Drosophila melanogaster: one gene and its partners. The protein of the gene in region 4 interacts with the protein of the main gene of each other region in a pairwise test. Each region holds a gene or a part of one and is shown on either strand. Other genes may lie near its edges.

What was found.
Region 1: the proteins of GABA-B-R1 (region 4) and EMC4 interact in a two-hybrid assay, tested with the Drosophila melanogaster proteins (one large-scale study listed by BioGRID).
Region 2: the proteins of GABA-B-R1 (region 4) and CG9825 interact in a two-hybrid assay, tested with the Drosophila melanogaster proteins (one large-scale study listed by BioGRID).
Region 3: the proteins of GABA-B-R1 (region 4) and CG2076 interact in a two-hybrid assay, tested with the Drosophila melanogaster proteins (one large-scale study listed by BioGRID).

What each region holds. Positions count from the first base shown.
Region 1 is NT_037436.4:22,866,647-22,869,790, reverse strand, and holds EMC4 (ER membrane protein complex subunit 4), read left to right. Parts: upstream 1-1,547; 5' UTR 1,548-1,638; coding exon 1,639-1,694; intron 1,695-1,754; coding exon 1,755-1,884; intron 1,885-1,936; coding exon 1,937-2,251; 3' UTR 2,252-2,327; coding exon of another isoform or gene 2,328-2,391; 3' UTR 2,392-2,616; downstream 2,617-3,144. Other genes in the region: Arf1 (ADP ribosylation factor 1), read left to right, coding at 17-126, 320-445, 545-709.
Region 2 is NT_033778.4:22,835,578-22,839,793, reverse strand, and holds CG9825 (uncharacterized protein), read right to left. Parts: upstream 2,434-4,216; 5' UTR 2,359-2,433; coding exon 2,337-2,358; intron 2,073-2,336; coding exon 1,936-2,072; intron 1,879-1,935; coding exon 805-1,878; intron 738-804; coding exon 513-737; 3' UTR 503-512; downstream 1-502. Other genes in the region: CG12490 (uncharacterized protein), read right to left, coding at 3,247-3,453, 3,535-4,216.
Region 3 is NC_004354.4:11,088,416-11,092,643, forward strand, and holds CG2076 (uncharacterized protein), read left to right. Parts: upstream 1-1,794; 5' UTR 1,795-2,163; coding exon 2,164-2,383; exon of another isoform or gene 2,384-2,450; coding exon 2,451-2,562; exon of another isoform or gene 2,563-2,635; coding exon 2,636-2,777; exon of another isoform or gene 2,778-2,875; coding exon 2,876-3,212; exon of another isoform or gene 3,213-3,309; coding exon 3,310-3,442; exon of another isoform or gene 3,443-3,505; coding exon 3,506-3,587; 3' UTR 3,588-3,683; downstream 3,684-4,228. Other genes in the region: vago, read left to right, coding at 956-1,037, 1,106-1,244, 1,311-1,572.
Region 4 is NT_033779.5:15,014,642-15,019,332, forward strand, and holds the start of GABA-B-R1 (metabotropic GABA-B receptor subtype 1), read left to right. Parts: upstream 1-1,689; 5' UTR 1,690-2,755; intron 2,756-4,691.

The DNA of each region.
Region 1 (3,144 bases), on a different chromosome or scaffold from region 4:
ATGGTTGTCCCCCTAGGTTTCAATGTGGAGACTGTAGAATACAAGAATATTAGCTTTACAGTGTGGGATGTGGGTGGCCAAGACAAAATTCGTCCCCTGTGGAGGCACTACTTCCAGAATACACAAGTAAGTGTGATTTCAGCTTTTCCACAGATTCCAGAAAATTCTATATGATGTTAACAGCTTGTAATGATTATGCATTGTGATTATTCAAGTTTATTTTGTTTCAAGACGGGACTGACTATATTATCTTAGAGATCTATCTCCTACGATTCAAGCCAGGACAATTGGAATAAAGTTTTCATTTGAATCGTTACAGGGTCTTATCTTCGTCGTGGACAGCAATGACCGAGAGCGTATCGGTGAGGCGAGAGAGGAGTTGATGCGCATGCTGGCAGAGGACGAGCTGAGGGATGCAGTCTTACTAATCTTCGCAAACAAACAGGTAGGTCCAAGCAAAGGTTGTCGTTATCAGTAGCCAGTTGCTCGGTCCTTATATTGTCATACTAATATTGCACCTCGCTCTTTTCTGGGATCATTTTAGGATCTGCCAAATGCAATGAACGCGGCCGAAATCACCGACAAGCTCGGCTTGCACTCACTCAGAAACCGCAACTGGTACATCCAGGCGACGTGTGCAACTAGCGGTGATGGGCTGTACGAGGGACTCGACTGGCTGTCCAACCAATTGAAGAACGCTAATCGCTAATTAAACACTAAAATTAAAGCAACAATATGAATACAACTAACTCTGATTTCAAGCGAGCCGAAGCAGTTAACCAGCAACCAGAACCATAGAAAGAGCGGCTGAAGGACATCCAACATCCAGCGGTAAACGGTGGAAATCGACATCAGAAGGAATTTTCACAAAACAGCAGCAGCGGCACCAACACCAACAACAAGAGCAGCAGATCTTCGCATAACTTAAAGGGCTCCGCATGTCCGTATTTCCAAACAAGAAACTGAAATTGTTTATTGAATTGCAAAAACATAACCTTTCAAGCAGCATATAAAGAACGCTATAATATAATTTAAATTCGTATACATAATTATTGGATGTTTAAAAGCAAATCGAGTAAAAGAAAAGCCCAACCAATCACACAAGAAAGGAAACTATAGTATATGGTATAAAAATGTCTTTTTTAAGTTATTTTTGTCCTCTCCCTACCCCTCATCAAAATATATATTTCTTTTTAATTTTATAATATTAAAGTAATATTAATGAGAAAAAACTGTAATTGTAATTGCTCTTTAAAAATACAACAAATACCATTTTAATTTTTAACCCTTCTGTTTCTTGTTGTCGCTTGGTCACGCAAAATCCATTAAAAATCACGCATATATATAAGACCATATTAAAAAGGAAAGTACTACTTAAAAGGTAATTTGAAATAAAATTTAAATATTAATGAAAACTACTGCGCTGTTCGATTTTTGCACATGCGTTTCAAAAAGTCCGCGCAAAATCGTAACTGCCTATCGATACCCTGGTGCCATACACATCAGTTGCCTATCGAATTGTCTACACTACAATAATTTCGGAATTTAACGTTGAACAACACTCAGCGACCAATTGTCAGAAAAAATCGTCATTTTGTTTTATAAATTGGCAAAAGATTAAATAAAAGAAAGCACAGCATGTCCGCCAAGCAAAACCCAAAAAAGTTAAAGTGGGCGCTGGACTTTAACGGGAGGTAAGGATTGCTAGCCTGCGCGGTGACTCAAGTTCTTACCACTTTTGCTTTTTCCTGCAGCAAAAATGCTGATATTCCTTCGCCGCTGGGCTACAATCCATCTGCTTTGGTGAACCAGAGTGAAGTGGTGCGCGACCAGCGCCTGGTCATCAAGAAGTCGTGGGACCTTGCCCTGGGACCTCTTAAGAACGTGAGTAGCAGCCCTTTGGAAAGACCCGTGCTTAACCTTTGGATTCCCTCAGATTCCCATGAATCTATTCATCATGTACATGTCAGGAAACTCGATTTCCATTTTTCCCATCATGATGGTCGGCATGATGCTGATCCGGCCTATCAAGGCCATCTTCACCACCCAGGTGACTTCCAAAATGGCGGAGGGGGCCCAGGGAACTGGCCAGCGCATCGTCTACTTCCTGGGCAACCTAGCAAACGTGGCTTTGGCCCTCTACAAGTGCCAGAGCATGGGGCTCCTCCCCACCCACGCCTCCGATTGGTTGGCATTTGTCCAGCCTCAGACACGCCTGGAATATTACGGCGGAGGAATTTCGTTTGTCTAGTTTTACACATATAGATTCTCTTTATTTGATCATAGATAAATTGGTTTAAACTAAAATTGTGGTCTTATTCCGCCAGTCAGTCGTCTAGTATCTTCTTGGCCTCCTTTTTGATGTCATCCACTAGTTTCTCGCCGGGCGATCTGTTAAAGAAAATAGTAAAATAATTAAGATACAGAATGATAATATGATCTTATTTAGCATTGATTTCGTCATGGTTGCACCTGGCAACAAATTTTTATTCGGAAAAGCCATCATTCACCACAGTAGAAAGATATCATCACGACTTCGCACGCATTTTTTCAGCACTTTGTCCTATTTTCAGAATTTGTAAAACAAGCGCGTGGAAAGCTTAATATAAGATATCGAAAAAAAATCCAGGTTTAGTTGACAAGTTCGACTTATAAAATTTTTACAATTTTAATTACAAAGGCATTTGACAGAGTGTGGCTCGATGGACTTTTGTTTAAAATAATCAAGCTGTTGCCCCAAAACACACATAAGCTACTGAAGTCATACCTATATAACAGAGTGTTTGCAATAAGATGCGATACAAGCACTTCACGCGATTGCGCAATCGAAGCTGGAGTGCCGCAAGGCAGTGTACTGGGTCCAATCTTATACACCCTGTATACGGCGGATTTCCCCATAGACTACAATCTAACAACCTCCACGTTCGCTGATGATACCGCGATACTCAGTCGCTCGAAATGCCCAATAAAAGCCACGGCACTCCTATCCCGACACTTAACATCTGTAGAACGATGGCTTGCCGACTGGAGAATTTCAATAAATGTTCAAAAATGCAAGCAGGTTACCTTTACCTTAAACAAACAAACATGCCCACCACTGGTCTTGAATAACATATGCATTCCACAAGCCGACGAGGTAACATA
Region 2 (4,216 bases), on a different chromosome or scaffold from region 4:
TTTGTTCCAAAGAAACCATAAAGGTGTGTACCATTTAGTGATACTGTGGGCATTGCCAATTTTTTTTATCACAAATCATATGGCGAGAAGTGCAATGACGAGATCGTTGTACGTAAGATAATATTTTTAGGTCTTCGCAAACGGCATCTTAAAAATGAACTGCAGAACTAAATGCTCTATAATTCAGTCTACTAGCGACGGTAACTAAGGGAATTTTAAACACAAGAATATGTCTATATTTTCGAGCAATCAAAACAATAATAGCTGACTAGCTCTTGAGACTGCGGACTTGTAATTAAAAATATTTAGTGATGTCGCCCTCAATGGCATTTTCAAAATATCAAGAATAACTCAATTTGAGTGTCAGTTATAGATAAAAGAATCGTTTGCTATCTCTCTACCAAGTTATGATTTTTAGACCACTAAAGTGAACAAATAAAAACCAAATGCTAAAATGTAAATTTGGTTATCCAGACTAGTCTAAAAAATAAATGCGTTAAATGGGTTAAGAATTAATGGCTTTTACTATTAATTTTCTCTTTGGAATTTTCGTTAATTGGAAAGGATAACGCCTGCATAGGTGGTCTATTGGCAAGTTCCGGGTTCTGTGTCTGCAGATAGTCCTCGGCATCCCAGGGCTGAGTTTCGGCCGTGCCAAACACCAAGTAAATGCAATTGCCCACAAAGAAGATTACGGAGGCAATGATGAACACGATCTGCCATTGGGAGCGATCAGACTGAAAGGAAAGGATACAATAAGCAATTAAAAATCTTTACTTCCTACCAACTTTTGCAAGCACTCACATTTTCCTTAACAATCCATCCAACAACTAAAGGAGTGACTATGGGCACGAAATTCGCCGCTGTATTCACAATTCCCATTAGAATGCTAGCGTGATTTTTCGATAGATCAATTGTGTTTAAAACACTGCCAATGGTTTGAGCACTATTCACGCCCACACTGATGGTCATCAGAGCAATCGCGAAGTTCTTTTGTTCCTTGTCCAAAAAGCCAATGCCCACCAAAGTGGCAGCAGGAATCCAGAAGGCAATGGAGTTGTAGGTCTTTCTCAAAATCGTCAAGGACACCGAGTTCTTGCCCAAGAGCACATCGGCTACGACTAGGTAAATATACGACATGCACCACATGGCCAAGAATGGGAGTGCCGAGAAGAACGCATTGCTCTTCATGTCCATGTCGAGGACTCCGTTCATATAGGATGGGATCTCGGCCTGCAGAGTGCTCAGTCCCCAGTTCTCAGCGCATCGTACTATGAGCAGGGCCAGGAATGGTGCCGACGTCCAAATTGCCTTCCAGGGAATGGGTATAATGGTAGCGTGGTATGACTCATTGTGCTTTAGAGACGACTCAATATAGATCAGTTCGTTCTCTCCTATGAAACGAGATTCCGTAGGATGGTTGGCAGCGAAGACGAACCATAATGTACACCAGAAGAAGGCCACTCCAGCCGAGACATATGAGATTCCGGGCCATCCCAGGGAGCTCTTGGCTATCATTCCGCTCAGGAACATGGCACTCACATTGCCGCACTCGATTCCAGTGTGACTCAGAGCTCCCAACCGATTTCTTTCCTCGGGCGGTGACCATTTAGCCAGGTGCTGATGAATGCAGGGGAATACCACTCCCTGGGCCAATCCCATTAGAACTCGAATTCCACAGTAGGCCTGCCATTCTCCAAATCCGATGAACAGCGGCGTCAAAGCACTGCAGACACCAGATCCGAAGACACCCCAAAACATTACACTCTTGACTCCAAAGCGCTTGCAGAGATAACCTCCAAGGAATTGCGTTAGGATGTAGCCCCAAAAGAAACTGGAGAGAATGTACGACTTCTCTGCCTCCGTCCAATCGTATTCCTAGTAGAGAATCTAGTAAGCTAAGTGGTATTTTCTTGATAGGATCCCTATTCTTACCGGAAAGTTCGGGTTCGTGGTTTCCGCATTGGTCATTGCCACCACAGACACGCCCACATTTAGGCGGCCTATGAATACGGTAGTTATATTGAGGAAGATCAGTAGCGCCTGGACATGCCTCATTCCCAGAACGGGTCCTGCAATAACAAAACGAACTGGTATTATCACTGTTACTTCCTGTCTACAAACAGTTGGGTAAATAAGTCTGAATTGCTCTTGAGACTCGGTTATCGCGCCATTATTGTAGTAATTTATGACCACTCAATGCGTGTGCGAAAAGCCCAGAAATCAGACGGAGTGCAAGGTCTGAGCCATGAAGGGGTTTTCCACTGTGTCAAGTTCGTTGGGTGTCAATTCATTCACAAACTCTTATCCGAACCGAAGGATTTCCTTTCACGCACCTTTGTTTGTCTCGGCCGTCATTTTTGATTTGGTCAACAAAACACCTCCTGACTTCTTTTAAACGACCGATCGGAATCACTGTGGGAAGTTAAGTGAGTGAGACCACGAACATAGAGTGGATTTAAATCCAAATTGAATTAGACGATAAGCCAAATGTTGCTTATCTGATACGACACGTCAGGTGATAAGGTCATACAGCGGGCGAATTTAACCATTGAATTAAAAAGCGTCATTAAAAAATTGTTGTACTTTACAAACTAGTTATTATGTCATTAGTCAGAATATTGTAAATCAATCAATAAATCATTATTTTCATCCATTTCTACAATTCTAGTAAGGATTCTGGCACGATTCGGTAAAAGATAGATGCCACATAAGCAACATGGCCTAAAATGTTAGCGCCAAAAAGAATGCATTGCTTTTTCATGGCCATATCGAGAACCCTTTTTCGAATAGGTGGGCATTTCGGCCTTCAGGTTACTTAGTCAAGAAAGAAGCCAAGGTTTTGCACCTTTAATAGTTAATTTTAGATATCTTGACGAAAATATCCTACCTGCAGTTCCTTTTCTACTGTTAAACGAGGTTGTTTAGAACAGCATTGCCTGGTCGTGTGGCGTTCCAAAATCAATTGGTAATATCAAGAGTAGTTACTGCCATACCATTATTGGATTGATTTATGGCCGCACCTTTGGTAAATTTGACGACTTTTGATAAGCAAATAACGCTCAAACATTTTAATTCAAACAAATCGTTTTACTTATACGTTTAATAAACAAATGAAATGTACTGATGTAGATCTTAAATCTTATTAAATTTAATAATAATACTCTAAATTATTTTGATTGCTTTGTTGTTTTAAATAGTTTCTATGTTAACTGAAGACTTAAGTGCTATCGATAGAACTTCAATTCAAGGACTTCGTGGAAGGTCATCAATACCTTTACCAGCTTCATGGATAGCTGGAACTTTAGCTAGCTCTGGCACCTTTACTGTGAGGTAGTCTTCAGCATCCCAGGGTTGTGAAACAGCCGTTCCAAAGTATAGGTACACCGAGTTTCCGACAAAAAAAAGTACTGCCGCAATTATGAACACTATCTGCCACTCAGCACGGTTATCCTGAAACAATCAACAGAAAGTCTTCTTATTTATACTTATTTATCACTGCCCTGTTTATAAACACTAACAGTGCAAACTTACGTCTTCATGAACAATAACTCCAACAATCAAAGGGGTTACTATAGGCACTACAGTAACAGCCGTATTCAAGATTCCCATTAGAATACTCGCATGATTCGGGGATAGATCTATGGTGTTCAAGGAGCTTCCGATTGTTGCTCCACTGTTGACACCGACACTGATGGTCATCAAAGCAATTGCCAGGTTCTTCTGCTCCTGATCCAGGAATCCGATTCCAATCAAAGTGGCACAAGGAATCCAGAAGGCCAACGAGTTGAAGGTCTTCCGGAGGGCCGTTAAACTCAGCCTGTTTCCGGCGAGCAGAACATCGGCGATTATCAGGTACACATACGACATAATCCACATGGCCAGAAATGGTAATGCCGAAAAGAATGCATTGCTTTTCATGTCCATATCCAGAACTCCGTTCATATAAGTTGGGATTTGGGCCTGGAGGGTGCTCAGACCCCAGGTCGCGCAACAACGCGTCAGCGTAAGAGCAAGAAATGGTGCCGAGGTCCAAATCGCCATCCATGGTACGGGAATTACGGTCTTGTGATAGTCCTCATTGTGCTTCAGAGACGATTCGATATAGTGGAGTTCTTCCTGGGTTATGTAACGAGATTCCACTGCATTGTCAGCGGCAAAAACGAACCAAATGGCACACCAGGCGAAGGCTAATCCTGCGGAGACATATGATATT
Region 3 (4,228 bases), on a different chromosome or scaffold from region 4:
TGATCATGATCGTCCGGCGCGAACCAAAACATCGAAACGTAAACAATTCTTTGCATCTCAACTCAAATGTTTATACAATTTTATACATCAACGGTCAAGAGAATGGGTACAACCAATTCAAAATCAGAAGCAAACAATTACTGAGACAGTCGACTTAAATACAATTTTTAATAAAATCTGCATTTTCTAGCAGTAAATCGATGTATTCTATTAATTTCTGCATACATTTTGCTCTATTTGTGATATAATTATCATTATTATTAATTGAATTATGCCAATGAAAGTACTTTCTATATTTGTGGATTCAATCATGCGAATATAGGTATATATTATTATGCTGATTAGGCAGGTCAGACGGACTTATATACAATACACAAAATATGGATCGATATTTGTTTCTTTTTGCATATTGCTATTAATCGTTTTCCTTCCATTTTATTTTGTAGCGCGATAAGCAGAGCATCGTAAGTTGCGTTCCGAAACTGTCAATCCAATAATTAACAGAAATTCACTTAGTAATATAAACTGAAAGTTGATGGCTTTATAAGGCGTAAGAGTCTGAAGATGTAAATGATGTTGCTCATCAACTGAAAATATAGCTAAATTTGTATGATTGAATCTATTTTTGGCAAAGCAAGGGAATTTTTCAACGGTATTGAGATCTATTTCAATATCATAAACATTTGTTTTAACACCTATGAAACGCACTGTTCGCAGGCTCGTACGCATAAACATTCAACAGATCCGAGTAAAATTTGTTAAATTTATTGTAGAGAAAGCGCGCAAATGTCGTAAGTGTGTGATTCCATACAAATAAACAATGTACTCTAGGTTTTTTAATATAAAAATGAACGAAGATTAACCGAACGGACTTCAGTTGTGCGCTAAACTTTGCAAACGTCGGGCCAAATTCTGTCCGCCGATCTCAGTTCTTTCGAATAGCAAATTTTCACAAATGGAGTCAATTAGCAGCATGATTTATTTAGTGGCCATGATGTCATTGATCATCGGTGGCAGCCAAGCGATTCCTTATCGACGTACGATTTTTCCAAATAACACATATATTTTCCAGTAATATACGTTGATTTTCCCTTTCACCCTATAGCCTCGGCGTATCTGTACAATCAGCAGTACTGTATGGATACATTGACGGGTCGGCAGCTTTATATCGGTGAAGTCTTCACGCGAGAGGATCAGTGCGTCCGCATCCAATGCCTGGAAACGCTGCAACTCTGGGAGGATAGGTAAGCGTGCCGTACTAGTATGCCATAGCATCGGGTAACAGATCATCGTACTCATCCATGGTCCAGCTGCCAGGTGCCGAAACTGACGCAGGGCAATTGCACGCCAGTTCCATCGACGAACCCGCATGCCGAATATCCCCGATGCTGCCCACTGTATGAGTGCAAGAGCTACGAGTCGAATTCGGGGGGAACTCTGGAGCAGACCAACATATATGACCACTATGGTACTCTGCGATCATCCCATCTCACTGAGATGATAGTGATCGACGGGCGGACACCCCCTCGTGGCGAGATTCACACGGCGTCGGCGAGGAAGTATCAGGTGTGAGAAGTGAACTGGTACTCTGTTCCTAGGACTACTTAGTCTTTAGTGCAGATCTAATGTGTACAAATACAAATGGAGTTTATTGCGGAATACTTGAATATGTTAAATAAATTTAAATTTCACATTTTTTTTGTCTAAAGAAGTGTATTTTTTCCACTGTACTCGCTATTCAAACTTGGCGCCCTATCGATAGCATTGCTTAGCTTATCAAATAAATTATCTCAGACAACGGGCTACGATTTGAATTCCTTACTTCAGGATCGTTGAGTTTATATTTCTATTTATTTTCTCGGGATTTTCAATATTATATTTTAGCATAATATCGATATTAGCGGTATTTGTGGCCGTCTGCGATAGGCATTTAGTTATCACGTAGCCAGACATCGAATAACGATTGCACCACTTATCGATAATAAAGCACAAGAGACAGTAAAATATTTAACAATTTCTACGAATCAACAAATTATAAAGCCGCAGTGAGCAATTAAAATCAGTTGGAAGAAACGCTAGTGCCCCACATAGGAATCCGAATCAAGCAGCACTTACCGAAGGACAACCAATTGCCCTCTAACCGAATTTCACCACAACAACACAATGTTGCTGCGTCTAGCACTTTCCACCGCCCGTCCAGCCGGGGCTATCAAGATCCTGGCCCAGTCTCCGGCCCAGCTGTTCCGGGCCAATGCCAATCCCAATCTGAATCTCTCCACGGTGCGCACCTACGCCCGCAGGGTGGTTCGCACCCGTGAGCCCGTCGAAGAGATGCGTGCTCCCTCGCTGAAGGAGAAACTGATGGGTCCGCCAAGTGCCAATGGTAAGTCTCTTGTGTAATCCCCCATCTATGTATATCGGTCGTCTAATTGTACTCTTCTGGCGTGCAGCATACTCCATGGGCAAGGGCGCTGCCGCCGGAGCAGCCGCCGTGGGATTGGGCGCCCTGTGCTACTACGGCGTGGGATTGGGAAAACAAACCAGCATCGCGGATAATGCCATGTGAGTGATAGCACGAGTCTCTCACTTGCGAAATACAGGGACTTTAATAACTGAGATTATATTTTCCGTTTAGCATGTGGCCCCAGTTTGTGCGCGATCGTATCCAGAGCACCTATGCCTTTTTCGGTGGCTCTTGCGTTCTCACCGCGGCCGCAGCAGCAGCCACCTTCCGTTCGCACCGTCTCCTGGAGCTGGCCTCGCGTGGCGGCATCTTGGTGAGTCCTCTTGCACAATTCGTAGTTCTTGCCGCCTACCTGACCAACAGACACAACAGAACATAACACTTCCTCTTCATTTGCCTTTAATCGCTTAGGCGACCATTGCTTCGCTGGCGCTGGTCATTGGTAGTGGAGCAGTTGCCCGCTCGATTGAGTACCAGCCGGGTCTGGGAGCCAAGCATCTGGCCTGGGCGGTGCACTGCGCCATTCTGGGCGCCGTGATCGCACCCATTTGCTTCATGGGCGGACCGATTTTGACGCGCGCCGCTCTCTACACGGGCGGCATTGTTGGTGGCTTGTCCACGATCGCCGCGTGTGCACCCAGCGATAAGTTCCTCTACATGGGCGGCCCACTGGCCATTGGCTTGGGCGTGGTGTTCGCCTCCTCGCTGGCATCCATGTGGCTGCCGCCCACCACGGCGCTGGGCGCAGGTGAGTTGCCAGAAAGTTCCACTGGGGCTAGCACCACTTCGCATTATATTTTATGAATTGTCAAGCGGAGTTAACCCATTCAACTCTCTTTTCGCAGGTCTGGCCTCCATGTCCCTATATGGCGGCCTCGTCCTCTTCAGTGGCTTCCTGCTCTATGACACTCAGCGCATGGTCCGTCGCGCTGAGGTCTATCCCCAGTACAGCTACACTCCCTACGATCCAATCAACGCGTAAGTTCACTCCTCATCCATACCGTGCTCTGAAACTCTATACTTTTTGGTTCTATCTTTTAGCTCAATGTCGATCTACATGGACGTGCTGAACATATTCATCCGCATCGTTACCATTCTGAGTGGTGGTCAGCGCAGGAAGTGAGCACTGGAGACGAACATGTGATGCGAGGATTATACCCTCTAAAATATACATACATATTTATACTGTTATTAAAATAAACCGATCGAGTTAGGAAGCAAAATGTACGAACTTTGTGTTTCAATTTGGCTAATTTCAATTAGTGTCTTAATACACTCCAGACCTAGAAATTAAATAATATATTGTCCATATATTATATACAATCTCTAAAAAGAAAGCATTTTTTAAGATCAATTTAAAATGTTAGTCAATTTTAAGCTTGATAGCGATAAATGTAGCTAGCTTTTAACCGATATTTATAGCAGTTGGGTTCGTTGTTATCGATAGCTTAATTACTTTTATTACGGATCGTTTGCCGTATTACCTAATTAGTTAGAAATTTACCTCGTGCAATATTTGTTATTGGTCGTACAGAAGCTCTGTTTTTTTTTTTTTAATTCAAAAACCGATGGCAAAGTGAAATTGGGCTCTAGGGATGTATCGATATGCAATCGATGTTTCATTCAGCTTTTTTCGACAGGACCTAAGCATTCCTGTCAAGAATTGTTTAAATATTTCGAGTCGAGCCGGTCGACAGTTCGAAAATAAGTTCTCCCGCAGAAGCGCCAAGATTCCGGATTTTAGGTGGCTGTGAGAAAAACACC
Region 4 (4,691 bases):
TCACACTATTTCATGTTGATTGCTGATTGCAGCTGTGCCTGCAAATGTTTTAAATCGCCCATTCAATAATAACTTTCATTTTATTGAATAGTTTTAGGAGATTACCATAACATAAAATAAACGTTCTATTCAAAGCAAATTCGCTAAATATTTCACTGAAAACATTTATAATTTTATGTAATTAAAACGTGAATTTAGAGTGAACTAGAAATCAAAATCAGAGTTCAAAATAATAGCTGGCCTATGCCAAAATAACATTGGAATACAGAAAATTCATAAATAAATCATCAATTTATCAATGCATAACAATTGCGCAATGTTAATTTTCAAACTGCTGTTTACCAATTTGCTCTTGAGTGGATTTGGTTTAATTAGTGCCGTTTCTGCTCTAACTGTCTATGAAATCAATTCAAATATCTAAACAATAAGTGCGTTCTGTAACCTATACGGCAGTGCAAATATAGGCCATAACCCATGCCCTCGTATTCACACATCTGAAAGTTATTTAATCCGCTCAGCAATTTCGATTGCCATTTATTCACTGGCAGAGTTCAAGACAAGTGCATTTCAGCATACCCGAATTCCACATGCGGACATAAATATTTGAGTAATTGATTTCCCAAGTCGACGATGGGAAAACTTCCAATTTCTTGGCTTGACTACTTTTGGGCCAATGCAAATGGTTTATTTTTGACCGCAGAATCCTTCGACTTGAGCGGACAGTTGAGGTTCTCGAACTAATTGCAAAATTGTCAATGATTTATTCAGTTGGCAATTAAGGTGCCAACTAACGGTGTGGCTGGCACGGCTATATCGATTTGAAAATATTCAATAATCCCGGAGCCTTGATAAGCTCATCAAACATGCACATGGCCATCAGCAGGGGGGGGCAAGTTTGTATTTAGAGCCAAGTGTGTTTGGTGAAGGGGGGTTAGCTGTATATTTCAGGGTTTCCCCTTTTTTTGTCGAGCGGTTTGGGGGGGGGTTTTGCGAGGGGACACAAAAGTACAAGTTGCTATGGATCAAGCTCAAGGCGTGGCAGTTGGGCATTAGCTCTATGGTGGAGCACGGCAACCAAGCGAACAAAGGTCAACTCGACAAGTGAGTTAAATGACAAGGACCTCACCTTGCCTTCCTTGGGCTTCGGCTTTGGCTTTGGCCCGTGCGTGTTTGCATGTTTGGCTCGATGAGGCGACGCGACCCCAAAAATGAAACTCAACTTTGGCTTTGACTGCGGCTCGGGATTGTGGCGTGCAAGCATTATGGCCTTTCGCTTTCAAAACAATGCCCCCATCCTGTTTCCCGGTTGGCCTAGTGGCACTTGCTCCTTGTTGTTGGTTTTTCGCATTGCCCTTGGCCAATTGCGAGTGAATTTTGATGTTTTGACTGGCCATTCCTGGGGCCATTTGACAACTCTATAAAACCGGTGTCCTTAAGCCCGCCCTCGTCCTTGCGCCCAACCCCCAATTACCGTCCAACTACCACCCACCTACACCCCGCTACACCCACCCACAAAGTAAACGTAATTGCCCGGAGAGTTTCGCGACTTTCGACTTGGCCAGCAAACTGAAAAAGCGAAACTTCAAAAAACCCGACTTGACTTGGCAACTGGAAAAGTGGAAAAGCGGAAGCACGAGCTTTCCCACCGAAAAGCTCTCGTGCTCTAAGCTTTCGTCCTGGCGAGGCGAAAACGTAAATGTCAGTCATGGAGTTCCAGTCGTCGGATACATGTGGAACACAACGAACACAGCAGGAGCCTCTCGCGTCTCATCCCCCGAATACAATGCGAAAAAGTCTGTACAAAAAATAGACAAATAAGGAGCAGGAGCGAAAACACCACTCTGTGCATAAGATATAACTCCCGCAGAACTGAATACCTGCAAAAAGAAATACGCGTTAAATGGAATTACGGTGCGGGAATTGATAAAGTGAAGTGTGTTACAGCTAGAAAGCAAGTGAAATAAAACGAATACATTAATAATTCATGCCCCTCATAGTCAGAAGCTTACTAGTTTGATAAGGAATTCAACGTAAATCTGATATAGTAATGTAGAAAAGTTGTACAAAGTAATATACATAGCATATAGCATATAGCACAGTTACACAGAACACACCGCAAACTCAAACAAAGTTGACAAAAAAAAAGCTCACGCCCCTCACATCTCAGTTTTTTCTCGAATTATTTGTGAAAGTGCAACAAACATATATAAAAAATAAAAAAGAAAAGGGAGGAGAGAGCACAGCAAAAAAAGGCAGTGACAGCAGGACCTGCAAAGGAATTGCCATCATTTGGGGATTACGGAATTATCGGGATCCGTTCTCATTAAAATGGATTTAAGGCAATGCCGATGTGCTGAGCTGCATTTGTGCATGGGATTATCGATTGTAATGCGCAGTCATCAAATTATGTTTGAACAACGCCGCCGCGACAGCGATAATAGCAACAATAACAACAACAACAACAACCAAATCAACAACAAACACTGATTTGGCCCCTGACCCCCTTTGGCAGCACCCCCTCCATCCAACACCCCCTACGACCCTGCCCAAGCAAAAGGAGCAGCGAAAAAGAAGAAGCGTCTTATGAAACAATTGAAGCACCGGCCAAAGGAGCAAAGGAGCAGACAAAGACAGAGACAAAAACATCGGCAAAGGATAAAACGGAGGCCGAGAAGAAGAGGAAGCAGTAGTAGCAAAGCAGGAAACAACAACAACAACAACCGCAACATCGCATTTTTAAACGGCAATACGCAAAGTAAGTGAAGTGTAAAGTGAGCGAGATGGCAATAGAAAGGTGTAGAGTGCCGCGAAGAGAGGCGGAGAGAATACACTTGCAAAAATGTGAGCAGCTAATTCCCAGGGATGTTAAAAAAAATTAAACCCTCATGGTTCAAAGATTCTAGGAGATGGACAAGTGATGAATGGTCAGTGGAAATATATGTATGTTTTAAGCCAAGTGAAATCAAAATGATTTGAGAAGTACAAATAAAAGAAAGAAAGGAAAGAATGATATATGATATTTATTGGTTGTAGTACAGGAAAATAATAGTTAAAATGATATCCCGGATTGATGGTCATTACAATGATCGTACCACAAAACTCTTTCTAACTCAAATTAAATTGTTAAAATTATTTTTCAATACAAATTTGATATATTTTTGTTTTTTCGCCGACAAGATGCATAGATCTTTCATAGAATCTGAAATCTATATCTTTTTTATATTGCTTTTGAGAAGAGTAAACCGATCATCATCTACGATCACTCCTTTTTGTTCTGTGTAGGTATGAAGAGAGCAGGTGGGAAGGCAGTGAAGTGAAGTGAAGCATTTGTCGCATTTGTGCAGAATTCCCGACGTAATTAATGTTTAAAGTCTGTGTGTGTGTATGTGTGCGAAGGTTTGTAAACTAGGTCACTAGGAAGTTAGCCCCTTGACGACCATCCCCTCTCATCAGCGCCTCTTCAGCGGCAACTCTACGTCAAAGGTGTCAACTCGCCAAATCTGCAACCACACCTTAGTTAAGTGAGCCACCCCGTAGCCACCAAAATTATCCACAGCACCACCACCTTTTATTCGTCCTTAACACACCGCCATGATTAACGCGCCTCAGTGCGATTAACTGGCAAACAAATTTGGAGTGACGCTGCGGCGATGTACATACATACATATATGTATGCATGTTTGTGCTAAACCGACAGCATTTCCATTCAATAACACACGCGGCTCGTATGCAAACACTGTAAAAAGGTTTTATGCTAAAAAAGACGCCGTATTTGTGCATGAAAAACTGTCATTCATCATCCAACCAACACAAATAACCGGTAATGGCATCGCCACATTATGGCTTTGTATTTTTTACATCCTCAAACACAAAAAAACTTTAGTTGATTTCTGACTTGCATCGCATTCATCACCCACTAAAGTCGAGCAATCAATCCTCAAAATACGTATACGCACTGTTAGTTCAGTTGATTAATAGGCTAATTATGAAGGAAACTGAAAGGAAACACTAAATCAATAAATCCTGGCAAATTAGCATCAGTATATATTTGTGTTAGTGCAAACATTTAAGTTTTCTATCAATTTTAAATACAAATATGTTCAGAATTAAGATATATTTCAAAGGGAACTATGCTTTGTTTAATTAAGATTTAAGGTTTTATAACTATAAAAGCCTTCAAAATGTGCCATCTATTTTATATTCACTTACAAGCAGATTTCAATCAAGACCACTCTTTAATATGATATATTATGTCTAGAACAACCGAGAAGGCACTCTTAAATTAAATATTTTAGTACCGTAATAAATTATGAAACGTGCTGACGGTAAAATATATAATACAATTCATACTTTAAGTTATATTTTTTTTTTGCCCTATATGGTTTTACGTATCGGTGTGTATGTGAGTACCTCGCACACGCAGGACATAGAGATAAAAAGGCTTCTCCCACATAAAAGTTCTATTCTGTTTTTTTTTTTTTATAGAAAAATATTGCTGGCAGGAGTTTAGAACATTGCCAAAGGGGATGCGGACAGATGAAGGGGCGGGGGCGTGGCGGGTAAAAGCCATAAAACTCAGGCGCCGAAGCGCAAAATGCCCTTGCCCTGAACAAAAAGAAGAAATTGAACAGCAACAACCAACAACAAAAACAAAGAAGAACAAGAGCAAATAAAATACAAACTGCTTATTT